2 linked regions of the Oryctolagus cuniculus genome follow. The protein of the gene in region 2 purifies or fractionates together with the protein of the main gene of each other region. This does not show direct contact. Links are inferred from orthologs where the notes say so. Each region holds a gene or a part of one and is shown on either strand. Other genes may lie near its edges.

Region 1 (3,746 bases), on a different chromosome or scaffold from region 2:
GGACTTGGGCAGCCCCAGCCCTCTCTGAGCTCAGGGCCCCCACCTGCACCCCCACCCCCGGGCCTAGGGTGATCCGGCCAAGCTGTCACATCCACCAGCTCTCACATCCACAGCTTCCTGCGTCTCGGCTGTAACTGCAGAATCGGGCAGGTCTGAGCCAGGTCCCTGTCGCTGCCCATGGAGCCTCACCCTGGCCCCTGCCAAAAAGAAGTAGGAGCCCCAGGCCGCCAGACGAGTCGAAGCCAAAGCAGGGTCAGAGGCAGCTCCGCTTAGCTCTGCTGTTCCCTAGATGCCACTGTGCAGATCCGGCCTCCTCCAGGGGGGAGTTTGGTGCTGGCAGGCAGCAGGCCGGGTCAGTGTCAGCAGAGGTCGCAGGGGGACCCAGGAGCCAGCAGGTGTGGCATAGCCCTCTCCCCTCTGCCCTGGCTTCGGTACCAGGGAGCCTCCAGGTTGATCTTGGAGTCCCTTAGTTCACTGACCTTGTGATGTGGACTTAAAGCAGCTGAGGGCCTTCCAGCAATTTCTGCCTTTGCCCTGCTCCACTAAGAGGCCCACTTCTTTCGTGCCAGTCCACACACCCAGCTTGCCGTGGTGCACCTGAGCCTCCTCATCCCGCTGAAGATACAGAGTAAGTTTGCTGAGCTGCCCCAGAACCCTCCCAGAGACCTCAGGAGTCCCGAGCCCCGCCTACGCTCCACCCTATTTGTATATTCAATTAGGGCACCACCCTCTACTGGTAAAGGGGGCTCCCAAGCTGGGATAGGGGCAATTCTTTCTTCTGAGGCTGCTCGCATCCACCTCTAATTGTGTACTATCTCTTTAATCTGTTTAAGTAAATCCTGCTCCCAGTCTTGCACTTTATCTGTAGCTCTGCTTTCAGTTCTCACTCCCAGAGAACGTGGAGTAAATGCAGCTGGGGGCCCAACCCTAACCCCCAAACCCTTAGGAGCACCGAAGACCCAGGTGCGAGCCTGCGGTGGATGAAGCTGTAACTGGAGGACCCAAGAGGCCTTCTGGGAGGAGGTGCTTGATTAAAATCCCCACAAATGGGAAATGGGCCCCATTTGCAGCTGGAGCAGAGGGGGCAGGGGTGGTAACCGTGCCTCTCCGGAAAGCACCTTGCCTCAGGACTGGCCGCCGACTGGGTCCCCGTCCCCTTGCCGCCCACGGTCTGGGGGTTTCCGCGGGTGCGCTCCCTGCTTCGCCAGGGCTTTCGTTCCTTTTGAAACGCCCGTGTGATTGCTTCTTGGCCTTTCGGCTAAGATCAAGTGTGAAACGCACCTGTGGCCGTGGCACTTCCTAAGGACCCACCCCGGGGGTTGTCCGCGTCCCCCTCTCCCACCAGATCGCGTTCCCCTCGTTTATTCACTTTGCAAAGCTTTCTACGGAACTCTGGGCACTACTGGTTTTATGATGCAGCGGAGAGGCAGGTGCGTCTCCTGGGGGTTTCCGGAAACACCAAGAACCTTGCCAAAGCAGGAGCGGCCCGGCCTGGCTACGGGAGCGAGCCCCCAGTGTGACAGCCCCGAGAAGGTGGCGCCGGGCTCCACCTCGGACCGCCTTTAGCTTTCCTAGAACTGGCTTTGACCTCTACATTCATTCCAGCTCTGCAGGGGCTCGGACAGCCAGCACCGCCGGGGTCCCCTCAGGGCGCCACTGCGAGAGCGATCAGCATTTTCCCGGGTCCAAGAACCCGGCACTCTGAAACCGCAGCCTCTCTCAAACGCCAGGTCGGGCAACGGCAGCGCGGCGTGTCCCTCGCGCGACCCCGTCGCCGCGCCACGCCCCCTTCCTGTTCCCCGGAAGTGCGCGGGTAGAAACGGAAGCGCGCGCCGACTGGGGCTTGGCGCAGTAGTCCCGCGATGGTGGGGGGTGGCGGCATGGGGGGCGGCCTCCTGGAGAACGCTAACCCCCTCATCTACGAGCGCTCAGGGGAGCGGCCGGTGACGGCGGGGGAGGAGGACGAGCAGGTTCCGGATAGCATTGACGCACGCGAGATCTTCGATATCCGCCGCTGCAGGGAGCGGGCGGGGTCGCGGGGGCCTGGGGCGGGCGGTGGGGATGGGGGAGTGATGTGCAGCAACCTTTGGAGCCGTGTCGGGGCCGGGCGTCCCTGGCAGAGGGCGGCGACACGGGGTCCTTTTCCTTCACTTGCCACATCTTATTCGCTCCATCAATGATCCGGAGCATCCGCTGACCCTGGAGGAGTTGAACGTAGTAGAGCAAGTCCGGGTTCAGGTGAGTCACTCGCAGCCTCGGAGAAGGGCGGCTTGAGAGAGCCGGAGAGCCCCAGCTGGGCACCAGCGGCCACGGACACATGGGAGAGAGGGTAGTTGTGCCCATTGTGTGGATGATGAAGCCGAGGCCCAGAGAATTCGGACGCCGTGTGCAGAGTAACAAACTGAAAAGAGCGTGTCTGGCCTGGGGCCGGGTGTGACCCCCCCCTCCCTCCACATCTCCCTCCCACAACAGGTCAGCGACCCCGAGAGCACAGTGGCTGTGGCCTTCACCCCCACTATTCCGCACTGCAGCATGGCCACCCTTATTGGCCTGTCCATCAAGGTCAAGCTTCTGCGGTCCCTTCCCCAGCGTTTCAAGGTCAGTGGCATCCGAGTCCCCTGCGGTGAGACAGGCGCCAGGGTCTGTAACTGGAGGAAGGGGCACAAAAGGGCGTGAACATGGACAAGACCTCGGGGTGGGGCCTGGAAGGATCTCACAGACGTGTGGAGTGTGGCGGCCAGCGCAGTAGACAGCTGTGAAAGGTCTGGCCAGTGGGCCTCTGAGTCAGCAGTGGGTGACCAGTTCTTCGGAGTGGCTGTGGGTGAGATTCGGCTTTAACAGAAGGACCGGGACCCAGAGCTATGATTAGGAGGAAGGGTCGGCTGGAGGGCCGTGGGGGCGGGGCAGAAGGGTGGGAGCTGCGTGGGTGTTCAGGCTCCGGTTGTCTCCTTCCCAGATGGACGTGCACATTACTCCAGGGACCCATGCCTCTGAGCACGCGGGTAAGTGGGGGCTGGCAGCGCGGGCGGCAGCCTGGGGCCCCAGCCCGCGTGAGGCTTTCCCCTCGCCACGGTGGCTTTGAGGGTGAGATCGCAGGAATGCAGTTGCCAGAGACCTCTCAGTGAAAGTGGTGGCCCAGGCCAGCGCTGGGCTAGCAGGGGCAGCCAGGTGGGAGGGATCCCAAGAGGGCAGAGTAGATGTGAGCTCAGGAGGTTGGGGACCCGGGAAGGAGGCGCCTTGTTGATGGGGACGCAGCCTATACCCGGTCCCAGAGGTGAGCGCGCCTGACGCTCTGACCCACCTTCCCACTCCCTCCCTCCCTCCCTCCCACAGTGAACAAGCAGCTTGCCGATAAGGAGCGGGTGGCGGCCGCGCTGGAGAACACGCACCTGCTGGAGGTTGTCAATCAGTGCCTGTCAGCTCGCTCCTGAGCCTGGCTGCCGGCCCCGACTTACCACGTCTGCCCCCAGCTCCGTGCAGAGTGCACAGCCGTTTGTTCAGTTACTGACAGTGAGAAGCTAATGTTTTGCATTTTGTAATAAACCCTTAATTTATATTCGTTTCCCAACATGCCTTGGCATCTTTCATTGTGATGGACTCTTTTGGACTTTGGGAAGGGACAGTGATGGCGAGTGCAGAGAGAATCAGTGAGGTACAGTTTATTTATCTGTAAAATCTCTCCCAGTACTTTGATGAGGAAGAGCTGCAAGTGTAAAAAAAAGGGGGGGGAGGAGGGAGGAATGGGG
Region 2 (3,646 bases):
AAAAATATTTCCATGTTAAAATCTCACAAAATGGAGAACTATAAAAAAGTTAATGTAAATTTTTAAGTTAATATTCACCTAGAAAACACTTTTAATTCAGTGACAGGAGATGCCATGAGCTATGAGAATCCATGGTTGTAAAATATGCTCATGAAAAGAAAATGTTCTTTAACTATTCACATGTGTAAGTAACACACTACAATGAAATTAATGAGTTTGTGATATGAGAAATTACCCATCACAAAAAATGTTATAGACAAAAATAGATTATTTTGATTCACCACCAAGATAAGCCATAATGGTACCTCATCTTAAAATTTCATAGAATTCTCTATTTTTAAGATATTCAAAGGGCTGTCACTGTAGCACAAGAGGGTGAAGTCACTGTATACAGTGCCAGCATCCCAAATAGGTACCAGTTTGAGTCCCAGATGCTCCACTTCCGGGCCAGCTCCCTGCTAGTGTGCCTGGGAAAGCAGCAGAGGATGGCCCATGTGCTTGGGCCCTTGTACCCACATGGGAGATCAGGATGGAGCTCTTGGCTCCTGGCTTCAGTCTGGCCCAGGCCTGGCCACTGGGTCCATTTGGGGAGTGAACCAGTAGATGGTAGATCTTTCTCCCTCTCTAATTCTTTCAAATAAATAAATAAATCTTTTTTTAAAAAAAGATCTCAAATAATTTACTTAACTGTTCTGAAAATCAATTTTAAAAGTTTTATGAAAAATTCTAAACATAGTCAAATATAGAAAGAACTAATACAATGAATCTCCATGTACCCCATTACCTATCATGAACATTTATCAACATTTTGTCAATCTTTGCATTTCCTCCCCAGACTATTTTTCCTAGTTATTTTGAAGGAAACTGCAGACACCATATAATTTAGCCATGAACATTTTACCATTATTAGCTTTTCAAAAATGTATACCAAGAATTCATCACCTAACAATGAAATCCACTTTTTAGTCAACCTCTCAGTTTTCTTTCCTGATTCTGCTTACTAATGACTGCAAGTATTCACCTAGAAAAATACATCATAGTATTTTTTAAAAAAATTTAAAAGTCCCATTAACATACCTCTTGCCCAATGAACAGGGTAAAGATGTTTCCAAAGTGATCCGGTTTTTGCCAGCTGAGACCATTTCGTGCTTACTTGACTGCATCGACATAGTTCCTGAGGATTAAGATAACTGAAAATTGACAGCATTACCTCAGGAGGAAGATGGGTTATACCTGTGGAGTGTTCTGATACTTCTGCTTCTGAAATAAAAAAGAAAAAAATTATCAGTAAAGGCTTTAAGAACGCAACAAGAAATTACAACCACATTTCTATAAATAAAATCCAGTACCTGGAGTTAATTCCTTCCTGCTTGCAAGATGTGAACAGGAAGTAACATGTTTTACAGGTCCCATGAGGATGTTAAAATTGTTAAGAACCTGTAGGGTTAAACTATCATAGCCCAAATCATACTCCACCAGTGGGAGCTACAATAATGAATACACATTTGACTTCCTCTTACAAAAGCATTACAGCAAAAACAATACTCACTTTGTAGCATAAGTAGCATCATTTGGAAAAGGAACCAAACAGGTTACACAGCTTTAAATCAGTAAGTATATAGTAGGCCAGATTATGAGATCTCCAAGGCATTTTAATGACACCCACAAATCTCATATGTTCTATTCAGGCATTATGACTCCTGTTAGGACTTTCCACATGTTCCCTTTTTAATTTTCTTATTTCATATAGAAGGTCTGTGGTATCTAACTTCATTAACCTATACATAACTTACCTAAGTTATATACTAGTTGATACAATATAAATAGTTCTGATGCTGGTATACAATGAAAGGGACTCTTGTCAGCAACTACCAGAGAAACTAAGTCATTAGATGTATTTCTTACAATGTATTATTTCAGCAGCAATTTTTTGAAAGCAAATGAAAATACAGTACTAAATAAAAGATGTATACTAAATTCTACTACAAAGAATTTAAGAATCTTGTATATCATGTCTTCACAAAACGACTTAAATATAGAAATAGGATGATCAAATTGCTTTAGACTACCACTTTTAAAATGCCAAATATTTTAAACATAACACAGCTATAATTTGCTTTGAAGAAGAAAATTAAACATAATTAAGTGTGATGCTTTTAAATCTCATGTTATAATTACAATTAAACCAGATCTAACAGATCTTAGCTTGGTATATGAGGCACAAGCTGCATTTCAGAGTAAAGTATACAAACTTTATGGGCCTAATTACAGCTTAACTTACAATATTTTTGTTTCAACATGAGTTTAACCTACTTTATTATATAAAAACAAGAATAAAGGACTAATTTTAAAAAATTGTAGTCTATTTTAACAGGAAAACCATTGCTACCACCCATCAGGAAGTAAGGAAATTTTTACAAACCTGAGAATGCCAACTGTTTCTTTAATTATGTCTTAAAGGGCAAAACTATTAAAGATAAATAAGAATAAAAAATAAAGAGGTAGTCTGCTATGAAAAAAAAAGCAGGTATACTTTCAAAGTAACTGTATACAGAAAAGCTTTGTCATACTCACTCCCTTGAGTACTACTGGATATAAACATACAGAATGATACATGAAAAAGGGTAGAAATATAAGTAGTTTGCTCCTTGACTTATGATGAGGTTAGAGCACAGTAAACCTACTGAAAGTTGAAAATGTATTTAATTCACCTAATCTACCAAATATCATAGCTTAGCTGCACAATACATTGTGCTGTGTCAGCTTTTGCCTTTGTGACTTGCATGGCTGACTGGAAGCTATGGCTGCCACTGCCCAGCATCACTAGAGAGTATCATACCAAATACTGCCAGCCTGGGAAGAAACCAAAACAAAAAACGTGAAGTACAATATGCCTTCCACTTCTGCACCATCATATAGTCAAAAAAAATCATTAACTGAACAATTTTAAATTGGGGACCATCCATATGAATGATTTAGAAAATCAATGAAAAAAAGAAAAAAAAAGCCACTATGATCCATGGAATCCATAATGTTGGATTACACTATAAAAGTGCTCTGTTCATGGTGGTTTTCAATAACTTTGGTTGGCCAAATATTATTAATATTGTTTGCAAGCCAGCGCTGCGGCTCAATAGGCTAATCCTCCGCCTTGCAGCGCTGGCACACCGGGTTCTAGTCCCAGTCGGAACCCCAGTCGGGGCACCGGATTCTGTCCCGGTTGCCCCTCTTCCAGGCCAGCTCTCTGCTGTGGCCAGGGAGTGCAGTGGAGGATGGCCCAAGTCCTTGGGCCCTGCACCCACATGGGATACCAGGAGAAGCACCTGGCTCCTGCCTTTGGATCAGGCGGCCGCGGTAGCCATTGGAGGGTGAACCAACGACAAAAGGAAGACCTTTCTCTCTGTCTCTCTCTCTCACTGTCCACTCTGCCTGTCAAAAACAAAATATATATTGTTTGCATATATAAATTCATTCAAGAAACACTATACCGTTTATGACCCAAGTATATGAGATGATAAATCATAGACAACACTAAATTATAAAACAGAAACTACACAGATTGGACATTACACAATGTATACATGTACCAAAACATCATCACATGGCACACCATACATAGCACCATTTTTACACATTAAAATTTTTT

What was found. Proteins that work in one complex are often made in the same cells at the same time.
Region 1: the proteins of FBXL5 (region 2) and CIAO2B purify together in Homo sapiens (affinity purification with mass spectrometry; 3 studies listed by BioGRID and IntAct, counting the BioPlex papers as one, with this or other methods). This does not show direct contact. The link is inferred for Oryctolagus cuniculus from reciprocal best matches to the Homo sapiens genes FBXL5 and CIAO2B.

What each region holds. Positions count from the first base shown.
Region 1 is NC_091449.1:49,764,936-49,768,681, reverse strand, and holds CIAO2B (cytosolic iron-sulfur assembly component 2B), read left to right. Parts: upstream 1-1,517; 5' UTR 1,518-1,862; coding exon 1,863-2,004; intron 2,005-2,158; coding exon 2,159-2,238; intron 2,239-2,472; coding exon 2,473-2,598; intron 2,599-2,956; coding exon 2,957-3,002; intron 3,003-3,333; coding exon 3,334-3,431; 3' UTR 3,432-3,568; downstream 3,569-3,746.
Region 2 is NC_091433.1:10,675,166-10,678,811, forward strand, and holds part of FBXL5 (F-box/LRR-repeat protein 5), read right to left. Parts: intron 1,261-3,646; coding exon 1,078-1,260; intron 1-1,077.